2 linked regions of the Saccharomyces cerevisiae S288C genome follow. The protein of the gene in region 1 purifies or fractionates together with the protein of each later gene. This does not show direct contact. Each region holds a gene or a part of one and is shown on either strand. Other genes may lie near its edges.

Region 1 (6,437 bases):
TTGTCTCTTACCTGGGGGGACAATGTCTTTTAAAGCAACGATTCTGTCCAACAATGTTTCATTTTCATCAAATTCATCTTCAAAATCACTATCAGAGTCATCTTCATCATCGACAACGTCGTTGTTTGTTGCAGAAGCCTTTTCTTCCACGATGGCCTGATTTCTGGAAAATTGTGGTTCGTCTAATTGAACGACATCGTCTTTAATTTCAGTTAATTCGACCATTTGAATGATGCTTATTTTGGGGTATATAGTTCCGTTTTGACCTCTTTGGTTACTTCGTATTACTCCAAAAGTTACTCACTACGGAGTGGAGTATGTTGATTGAAATTGTCTAAAACGGGTTCAGTTTTCGCCGGCATAATCGTAATACTTATATCGCTCGACACGATTGAAAGGAATATGTAAAGGTTCAAACATCAACTATGTTTCTATTCTATATTATTGTACAAATTAAGTAAACGTTTAGCTATAAAAGGGTTTGACAAAGAGTAGAACGCTTAATTTGCAGCCTTTTTAGACTTTCTTGGTTTTTTCATAGCTTTCATCTCTTGTCTATAGATATCTTCAGCCTTTTCAGTCGTTCTCTTTTTACCAGTTTTTAAACTGACGACGCCTTTGGCCTTGGCAGCTATTTCTAAAGATTTTTGAGATTCAGCCCATTCCTCACTGTTATCATTTATGGCGTATTTATCTAAGTTCAAGGAGTTGATTAGCTCTTTTTGTTTTTCCCTCATCGCCTGAACGGCTTCAGAACCGGCTTCTTCTAAATCTTCTTCCATTTGGTCCAGTGCTTCTGCAGCGTTGTAATTTTTGATTTCTTCACCATCCATTTCAGCAATAGCATCATCTTTGATATTTGGTAGAGTTTCTTCAATTGATTGGCTTAACAGCTGACGGAAGTACTGAGACATTTTTCTCATGATCTTCGCAAACATAGCAATAGTTTGATTGGAAGGTAAATTCAATTCCTTGGCAATAGTGTCGATGTTTTTACGCTGTAACCCTATAGCCAACAGGATAGCACTCTGGACGCTTGATAGTTTTACTGAATCTCCCATTTTATCGCCGAAGTACAAAAGAGCAAGCATGGGTATCATATCACCGATAACGTGATAATCTAGCAAATTATTTGAGTAGCTATCCAATCTTTTCAAGTCAAATGGAGAAAAAATGTCATCCAGATGCGTCCGCGTCAATTCTTTATTATCATGCTTTTCGTCATCAGACAAATCTTGTGCTTTCTTACTACTTTCAATGACACTTAAGGCTTGAACGGCAGTAAACTTATGAAAATCATAAGAAAGAAGCGACAGAAATCTTTTACGGAAATCTTTGGCAAATTCAACGAGCCAGTTTGATTCTCTGCCTTCCAAAACGTTCAACATAACACAAGTATGTTCACCAGTTAAATCGTTTGCGGTTTGACGTAAATAAACAGGAACAAAGCTGTTATTCTTCCAGAATTTATGCAACGATTGCGTTAAACCATATGAAACACCCAAATAATGTAGATAATGAGGAGGCTGTTCAGAAAGTTTTAATAGTAGAGGTGGCAACGTTTTTGCGTCTCTTAATTTAACGTCATCCTTTAATAAATTAGTTTTGGCCAGTTCCTTATCGCTCACCCTCTTTATAGAATAATCCTTAGGACGAACATCTTCAGACATGTCAGTGAATTTACCCTCGAAATAGTCTCTCAGTAATTCAATTGCACGAGAACCATAGCCCATGGATGCGTATTCAGGATTAGTGGCAATTCTGACGATACGAGCACCACTCAAACTAGCGAATTCCTCGTCTTGGAATTGTTGAGAGATCAGCCATGGGATTAAATCACCACCAGCTCTTTGGCCTCTCGATAATGAATTTCTGACACTCTCCTTACTGATTTCACCTTCCAATGCAATTTGAATGACACATAGAGGGTCAGGGATCCTGCCGCCATCCTTTGGATCAATTGGTGGTAAAAGAACAAATAGTTTGTGCGCTGGGGCGTCACTCATCAGTTGTAAGTCGTTTGGAGAATTCTTGTAATGGGATGAAACGTACAGTGCCATCATTTTTTCCAGGAAATTTTCTGAGACAGGATGATAAGAAAATAGAGTATCTCTATTGACAACAAATAGATTACATTGGGATGGGTGAGGAGTTCCTCTTGTTGCAAATCTTGGGTTTTTAATTAAAGTAACATCTAAACATAAGAGCTTGTTTAACCATTTTTCAATTGGGTCACCAGGAGCATATCTGATTGGTTCGTCCAAGGAAATTTCACGTAATTGACGGGATTGAGAATGTAAGTGAGAGTCTTTTTCCTTATTATCTCTCGAAACAACGGCGGTTTGAGTACTTTCCCGACCGGATGTGTTGTTTTGATTACGCAATTGCTGAATTAACTTCAGAGATAAAGATCTACCCGTACCTTCGTAACCATTGATAGTGGATGCCATGAAGACTAGATATGGGCCCAGCAAGTTCTTGACGATTGGCAAAGGAATAGCTGCAGCTTCATCAATGACAACTAATTCAGCTTGGCCCAGAACTTGATGGTCTTGAGGAACAATATATTGAATCGTTTGTCTGTGATCTCTTTTAATATCAACTCTCACAATGGCTTTGTTGAAGTCGGGGTTCGTAGATTGAATGATATCATAATCAATGTGTTCTTGGTAACCTAAGGCATCGAATCCTTTGAAAATAAACTCAAATAGAGTCTTTAAATTTTCGGGAGATGGAGAAGTAACAAAAATATTAGAATACCCGTGAGAAACGGCCGCGGCAATAGAAATACCTAAAGCAGCAGACTTACCTCTACCTCTTCCAGCTGTTAGTGCAACTGTGAAATTCAAAGTTTTTTCCGAAATGGCATCAATGAAAGAAAGAATAGCGTGGGCTTGATTGACAGTTTTGGATAGAGAAACCAATGAACCAGCTGGTTGGACATCTTCTAAGGATTCTTTTAATTCTTGCAACTCTAATTGCTTTGGAGGCAATTCGTCATCTTCCTTAGGAGGTAGTGGTTTCACGTTTTTGGCACCAGATAGCGGTAGAACATTTAATTCATCATCAACGACTAAACAGTTTGGATTTGAACCTAAAGAAAGTATGAATCTTTCGTTAAATCTTGCAACAACGTCACCATGAGCCTCAGTACGATAACGGGCGTGAACATCCATAGTCATGGTGTACAGTTGCTTTAACGATGACATTGATTTCAATAAAATAACCACAATACCACCACCTTCTACAGTTTCAATGGTTCTTGCTAAAAGATTTGGGGTTAATGCCTCGAAGTCCTGAAGAATACACATACCATAGGTATTACCCAATATTTTCTCACTCTCTTTGTAGTATACATATCTGATATTTTGGTTAGAGATAAAAGATTCAAAAGGGTCCATTTCATTCACTTCCCTTGTACCTCTTTTAATTTCTTTCTTAATTTTATTCTCTCTTTTTTTTCTGTGCGAAGTGAATCCTAGAAGCTTCTTCTTATAAGCCCATAAGACGGACTTGTTCATCTTAAGGTCAGCACTCATCATCAAATAATGTAAATTTGGGAGCTGGTTACGTGCCCTGTCCCCAACGATGACAAATATGGACCTTTGTTTGGTTTGAACACCATTCCTGATCAGTGACGGGATTCTTGAATCGATAGCTTTTTTGGCCATTTTCTCCTTGTTTTATAAGTCTCTTATAAGTCTTTGCAAGTTAAAAACTAAGAAATATAAAAGGTGACTTGGCTTATATACTCTATTGCGTACTTTATTTGAGATAAATACAGAATCTCCATGCATCTTCAGCACCTCATCTCATCTCATTGTATCTTGGCTCTTCATTTTTTTTTTTCAAAATTTTTCACACGATTCCGGGTAAACTATTACTTTTTACAACTAATTCAGATATACCTGGGAAGTTACAATGGAAAACATGCAATGTTCGGTCTGGCTTGTATCATTTGATTGGAAAAGCGAGCATCGGTTGATACTGAACACATCCACATGCGTAATCATTAAAAAAAATTTTTCAAATTGCGAACTCTGTGGATCGAACACAGGACCTCCAGATGACTTGACCGAAGTTTTTCTTCAGTCTGGCGCTCTCCCAACTGAGCTAAGTCCGCTTATTTTTCTGAAACCTTTTCCGCCTTTTTGTCGTCCCTAGGAATTACTTTTGATGCACTGCCAATCTGAGGGAAAAATGACGTTTAAACGCACGAGAATGTGCAATTAGATGTAAGTCCATCGAAGCCTAGAGAAAGCGGTTCCAACAAAAGACTGTGGGCTCTGTTATATCATCATGTCATCTACCAGTGATAATAATGCTAATAGTGCAAGAGAGAAAAAACCACTGAAATTCGTGTCAGAAGGAGTTGGTAATGTAGAGGCCCAGAGGATACGAGAGCAAGTGGAGCAAAAAAAATATGAAGCGGAATATAAAAGGAAAACCAGGAAGTCCCTGCGAGATCAGCTTAGGTCTAATGCTATTAGTAAACAAAAACAATATAACGGTTTGGTGAGAGACCGTGAAAGTTTTACTAGGTTGAGTAAAGAGGACCTGGAATTTTACCAGAAGAGCAAGAATGAGTTGCTAAAAAAGGAAAAAGAACTGAATAACTACTTAGACGTCAAGGCAATCAATTTTGAAAAGAAAAAAAAAGCATTACTAATGGAGAACGATTCTACTACTAATACAGAAAAATATTTAGAGACCGGCACTAGTTTGGGCAGTAAAACACAAATAAAGGGCGTAAAGACATCCAGCCCTAAACCAAAAATCAAGGTATCCATAAAAAAATTGGGTAGAAAACTGGAGAACTGATGTGATGGCCTACACACTTCGTCACAACTAGAGCTTTATGCCAAGATTAAACTTCAAGTTATATAAATTATGTAAACATTGGACATACAAAACTCGGAAACTCTTTTTCTATTCATCTTCCCTTCTCGTACGTGCCCACGGAAGCAATAAAAAGAACCGAAATAACCAACACCCGTAACGTCAAAGCATTCATGCTTAGAATGGAAACCATTTCGTGGAATGAAATGGCAAATTGATCACATTGATTGCTCGTTCCACTACCTGTGTCCGCAATTTTTTAATGGTCATCACAGCCCCTGCTGACTAAAGTTCCTCGGATCCGCTTACGGTTGTCGCGCGGTTCCGCCCCTGCGTACTCTTAGTACCTAGCATATGGGCTCCCTCCGTTGGATTGGCATCGATTAGTAAGGACAGATGTTAAGGATTTAAGACCGTTTTTAAGGTATTTCGGCAATGCTTCGATTTAAAAGGAGAGAGTTTTTTTTTTGCCGTTTTCTTCCTCTCACTTCTTGATTAGTACTGTAATTCTAGTTGAAAAAAAATCGTTAACTATACACAGCAAAAAGCAATATCATACTGCATATCAAGCATGTCCGCCTCGATTCCAGAAACCATGAAAGCCGTTGTCATTGAAAATGGCAAGGCTGTAGTCAAACAGGACATTCCAATTCCTGAATTAGAAGAAGGATTTGTTCTAATTAAGACTGTCGCCGTTGCCGGTAACCCTACCGATTGGAAACATATTGATTTCAAGATTGGTCCTCAAGGTGCCCTCTTAGGCTGTGATGCAGCCGGCCAAATCGTAAAGTTGGGCCCAAATGTTGATGCTGCACGCTTTGCCATTGGTGATTACATTTATGGGGTTATTCACGGTGCTTCAGTGAGGTTCCCCTCAAACGGTGCCTTTGCTGAGTACTCTGCCATTTCATCCGAGACTGCTTATAAACCAGCCAGAGAGTTTAGATTGTGCGGTAAAGACAAGCTACCAGAAGGCCCCGTAAAATCTTTAGAAGGGGCAGTATCCCTCCCAGTCTCATTGACCACGGCTGGTATGATCCTTACACATAGTTTTGGCTTGGACATGACATGGAAGCCCTCCAAAGCGCAAAGAGATCAACCCATCTTATTTTGGGGTGGTGCCACTGCTGTTGGCCAGATGCTTATTCAATTGGCAAAAAAACTAAACGGTTTCAGCAAGATCATCGTCGTTGCTTCTCGTAAACATGAAAAATTGTTGAAAGAGTACGGTGCAGATGAACTTTTTGACTACCACGATGCTGACGTTATCGAACAGATAAAAAAGAAGTACAACAACATTCCTTACTTGGTGGACTGTGTCTCCAACACAGAAACTATTCAACAGGTGTACAAATGTGCCGCTGATGACTTAGACGCTACGGTCGTTCAATTGACCGTTTTAACCGAAAAAGATATCAAGGAGGAAGACAGGAGGCAAAACGTCAGTATTGAAGGAACCCTTCTATATTTGATAGGAGGTAACGACGTCCCATTTGGCACGTTTACTTTGCCAGCAGACCCTGAATACAAGGAAGCCGCCATAAAATTTATTAAGTTCATCAATCCAAAAATCAATGATGGTGAAATCCACCACATCC
Region 2 (5,082 bases), on another chromosome or scaffold:
TTAGCCGACTCTCTTAGACTCGATTCTAGTTACCAATTGCATTCAAAGGCACATTTGGGTTACGAAAACAACTTGCCACGATCAAACGATCTAATTGATGATCATTTGATCTCAGATCAGATCATTGAGAATAACTACAACCTATGGTTTAGACTATCCTCCAGTTAAACGGCTTCACTTGCTTCGTATCTTCTTCGACTTGCCTTTAACCTACTCATGATTCATGCTTATTTTTTCTTTTTCGATTTCCTTTTCTAGTCATCCTAAAAAAAAAAAACCTACACATATACATATATACATAGTTCTCTACACATCCTTTTGATAAAGAAAATATGTACGTACATCTGCATTAAAAAAAAAAAACAAAACCCTCAATATTTGGGGAAAGAATTCTATAATGTAAACTGTATCACGCATACTTTTTGCTGTCTTCGTCTTCATACATATAATATTTTTAGTTTAAGGTGAAAGGATAATTAAAATATCAATTTCTAATATAACTACATACCACGGAACGCATTTTTGCTAGCTCTTCTTCTATTTTCGAATCTGGGCTTCGACCTACCATTGTCCTTCTTATTACCATTTTCGTCAATACCTTCTTCATCCGATGAATTATCATGACGCCTGGATTTATAATTTCCGTCTTTTTTGCTTTTTCTTTGAGGAATAAAAGTAAGTTCTGCTTCACCGCGTTGGTTACGACGTAAAATGGATTCATTTGATTTCTTTCCATTTTCCACCTCAAGCAATTCGCCTACTTGTTCGCCAAATGTAACGTGAGCACTTTCGTCTCTTTGCGTACTCGTGGAAGTGCCGGCTTTCATTTCGTTCATAAAACGTTCGCTTTGCTCCTTTTCCTTCTTTCTGCGTTCAATTAGTGCCTTTTGCTTTTCCATCTTTCTCAAATCTTTTTCACTTAATTCTTCCTTATTTGACTTTTGGTTCGTTTCATCATCAGATTCTTCTTCATCAGACTCTTCATCCTCGTAGTCATAGTGACCTCTGCCATCCTTCATTGCAATTCTTTCTTCGTCGGACTCTTCGGCAGCAGTTAGCGCCCTAATACGTTTAGCAGCACCTTCTTCGGTTTCTTTGATGGATTTTACTGGATTCAATTGTTTGAAATCATAGTCATCTTCATCGACTTGAAATTCTTCATCCTCAAACATTTCTTTGAAACGGTCATCCGTAAGAACCTTTCCTGCAACTTTATCACCACGTTTTTGAGATAGTTTATCAACCAATGTTTTATTGACTTTAATTTTAGGTTTTTGAACAGCCCCTGAACTTCTGATTCTGGATTCTCTTTCTTTCTCAATTCTACGTCTAATTTCTCTTTCTCTTTCATCTTTGTAGGCATCTGGATTAGCAATTAATGAAACCTTATCGTAAAGTTCAGTGTTAATAAAGAAACCATGCATGTATGCTCTTAATACTCTGGATCCCACCAAGTGCGTTAAATTCAATTTTTTAACGTCGTCTCTAGTAATGAACCTGTAGTTAGAGTAAACAGTGTCACTTGGTTTTTCTTCTAATTCTTCTGTGATAGAATCCAAGAATGAGCACCAGCGTGGAGATGGTCCTAAACTTGGAATATAATATGTATGCATGGGAATACTTTCGTTAGCGGTGAAAAACATACCTGTACCTGGTACATGCTCAATGTCGTTAATATCAACACTAGGCTCCATAGAAGCGTATGCCTTACCATCTAGTCTATCCCATATTTTTGCAATTCTCTTGTCACATGTAACAATTTTATTTTCCGTGCCGACGTTATCCAACCAAATAATTTTCTTAATGTCAAACCCATAACCTTGGTCTTTAATAATGGAAGGTTCAGAAGTACGCAAGTCATAAATGTATGAATAACCGTTCGACGTACCACATGCAAAAGTTAACCCGTCATTACGGAAACTGGTTGTGGTGACTTGGAATGGTCTGTTGTCAATATTGTTCTCTAAATATAGCTTTGAAACACGGGAACGCGACCTTGGATCCCAGAATTCCACTACATTTGTTTCCGTGCCTGCCGCTAACAACCCATTTACTTCATTGATAGAAACATGGTTCACGCCTTCAGTATCCAACTTGAATGGGTTTAAAAATCTCCCCTTTTCCAAGTTCAACCTGTATAACTCATTACCGCTCGCACCAACATATAAATCACAGTTTACCTTATTGTAAACTAAACTTCTCCCAAATTTAGGAATTCTTGTGGTGTAATGTAGACCACCTTTGTTTTGGAATTGAATACTTCTATCATTTTGTAAATGTACACTTTTAGTCCAATCGTCAGAGAGAATAGTGAAATCCACGTTTTCAGCATCTGTGTGTCTATCGAACTTCAGTGACAAATTAGCAAAATCGTAGACATGGATCTGAGGTTTGTATGTACCGGTAGCCATGCAATATTGCCCATCTCTACTCACTTTAATCTTATTGGAGGCTTCGCTAAATTCAAAATCTTGAATCAGTTCTACTCTATTTTGATATTCTAAATCATTCTTTAATTGCCTTTTGCGCTTTTTCGCAATCCAGTCTGGAAGTGATCTTGAAACGTTTGTACCAGAAACCTGATATACTGAAACATCATTTGCGGAAGTAGATTTCAAAACCATAATGTCCCCTTTTTGAAGATATATGTTGATACCTGTAACTGATGTAATAAATGATGTGTTACTGATTACAGCCGATGAGATGAGATGAGCTTAGCTCAAAATTTTCAATTTTTTTTTTTCTTAATTTTTTTTAAGATCATATTTGGTTACCCGACCATGAAGTGACATTTGAAGAATTGATTTATATTTTTAATATTGCAAGATGTGCGAAAACTCACCATTACAGAGATAACTAAAAGTCTTATCTCATCACTATCGGATCTTTCCACTTAGTATTTTCTACGGTTAATTTAAAAATCAATAATAAAACAAAATCATCAGCGAAAATTGTGTATATAGCGTGTATAAAAAATATATAAATCTTTAAAAGCATACCTCATTAAAAGCCTAAGCAGCAAAGTGTTTCAAAATTTGCTCAGCAGCATGAACACCACTCAAAGCCATAGCTCCAAAAGTTGGACCCATACGGTTTAATCCATCCAGTTCAGCAACTTCCATACCAGCAAAGTACATGTTGTCAACACCGGCGTATGCACCAGAGTGAATAACGACATCGTGTTCGGCATGGTTCATGTCCAGACCCTTCATACCGCCCAATTTTTGGTTTTGATCAATGTCGACGATTCTCTTGGCGCAGAAAGCACCAAATGGACCATCATGACCGGTAGTGGATAAAATGACACCATGCTTTTGACTCAAGTCACGAGTTCCGTCATTTTTGTAACCTGCCAATTCAATTACGTTAGGGTCCATGCAACATTGAGTACCGTGAGCTTGGGTAACTAACGTCCAGTTGGTGACAACACCAGCAACGGTGACTTCGCCCTTTTCGGTAGGTGGTCTGGTAACCAAATCTTCAACACAGGTAGCATTGAACAGTTTAACATTTGGTAATTGCAAGACCTTTGAAAGGACAGTAGAGATGAACAAAGCGGCATGCTTAACGACAACATAGTCACCTTCGTCTTCGTAAGGGATTTCCAACTCTTGTAAGAACAAATGAGCTGGTTTTCTCATAACCATGGCACTAAATAATTGACCACCCAACCAACTACCACCACCTGGTGCAACTGAACTTTCGATAATACAAACCTTCAAGTCTGGTCTGTTCTTGGCGATGACGTAAGCGGCGGATAAACCTGAAGAGCCCGCACCGACAATAATCACGTCAGAAACGGCAAACTTGTCAAGATCCTTGAAATAACGAGAAGTCATAGCACGAGAGACAGTGGATTCGCGGATGGGAGCAAATTTAAAGTCAGACCAATCTTCTTTCTTAACGATGTCAGATAAGCAGTGAGTAACTGGAGTAGAGTTTAAGTGCAATTGAGAGGCACTTGTGGAAGTAGCAGTAGAGGTAGCAGACATTTTGATAGTTAGTTGATTTTTTTGGTTGTGATTTATTATTTCTAGATGATAAGAAAGAGAACATAAAAGATATTTCCCGACTACTTAATACACAATTTATTCCAATATTTATATATCTGGGTAGTTCATAAATTGAAAATCAAAAAATCAATTTCATGATCCATTTCTATTAGTGCTCGTAAAAAAATTTACGATTGAACTTGGTAACTGATAGAATACCAGATTCTTTACTATCAATTATGTATGTTTTTTAACGTGCATAATTATTAAAAGACCATTTGATTTTAAAAATGACGTTAGGAGATCGGACATTTTATGAAAACTTCAGAAAAAGGGCTTAAAGTAGAGTATCGTTTTGGACGTCTACAGGAAAATGGGGTGGTAAATGTTCTTGGCGTAAAAAAAAACTATTCACTAAAGCAATTGAGTGCCGATCCCTGTTGAGGAATGCTCATAAAGAGAAAGTATCAGAATTATTCCCCGCCGTAAATTTGTAAAAAAAGGGTAAAAAACGGTTAATCCTGAAGGGGCTTGGAAAGCTCGCCAGCTTCTTGTAATTCTTGACGCCACATATAGCAATCACTAACGAAGAAGTTGACTTTTTAGGGGGTTGATAAGCATTTTTCCCACCCATTTGCATCAGTTAATGTCAATTCAGTCATGATTTGCAAGATATTAGGAGAAAAAGTATGAAAATTAAAAAAGTAATCTTGAGCGGTACGAGAATCGAACCCGTGTCCCCACCTTGGAAGGGTGGGATGATAACCACTACACTAACCGCCCGGGGTTAACTTGAAAGCTCTAAAAGCTCGTTTTCCATATATAGGCATGTTACAATTCCTTTCCATTCTTTCCATTTTATCCATTATCTGATGCATTTCCCTGATAGAATAAGAACAAACTACCATCCATCGATTAGTATTCATGTCACTAGTATATTAATTATCATTTATGATGTAAAAAGAGGACATAAAAGTTATAGAACAGTCATTAGGTTTAATAAAAGCTTAAATAAGAGGATCGATGAAATAGTAGGATAGTGAAACATATAAAATGGAAAAGAAATAATAATACTATTAGGTAGATATAT

Evidence for each region.
Region 2: the proteins of KRE33 (region 1) and ENP2 purify together in Saccharomyces cerevisiae (affinity purification with mass spectrometry, with the first as the bait; 4 studies listed by BioGRID). This does not show direct contact.

Annotation. Positions count from the first base shown.
Region 1 is NC_001146.8:372,555-378,991, reverse strand, and holds KRE33 (ribosome biosynthesis protein KRE33), read right to left. Parts: upstream 3,672-6,437; coding exon 501-3,671; downstream 1-500. Other genes in the region: TOM22 (Tom22p), read right to left, coding at 1-225; FYV6 (Fyv6p), read left to right, coding at 4,300-4,821; YNL134C (uncharacterized protein), read left to right, coding at 5,411-6,437. UniProt on the Saccharomyces cerevisiae protein: RNA cytidine acetyltransferase with specificity toward both 18S rRNA and tRNAs. Catalyzes the formation of N(4)-acetylcytidine (ac4C) at positions 1280 and 1773 in 18S rRNA.
Region 2 is NC_001139.9:779,309-784,390, reverse strand, and holds ENP2 (ribosome biosynthesis protein ENP2), read right to left. Parts: upstream 2,625-5,082; coding exon 501-2,624; downstream 1-500. Other genes in the region: ECL1 (Ecl1p), read left to right, coding at 1-168; THI4 (thiamine thiazole synthase), read right to left, coding at 3,012-3,992. UniProt on the Saccharomyces cerevisiae protein: May be involved in rRNA-processing and ribosome biosynthesis.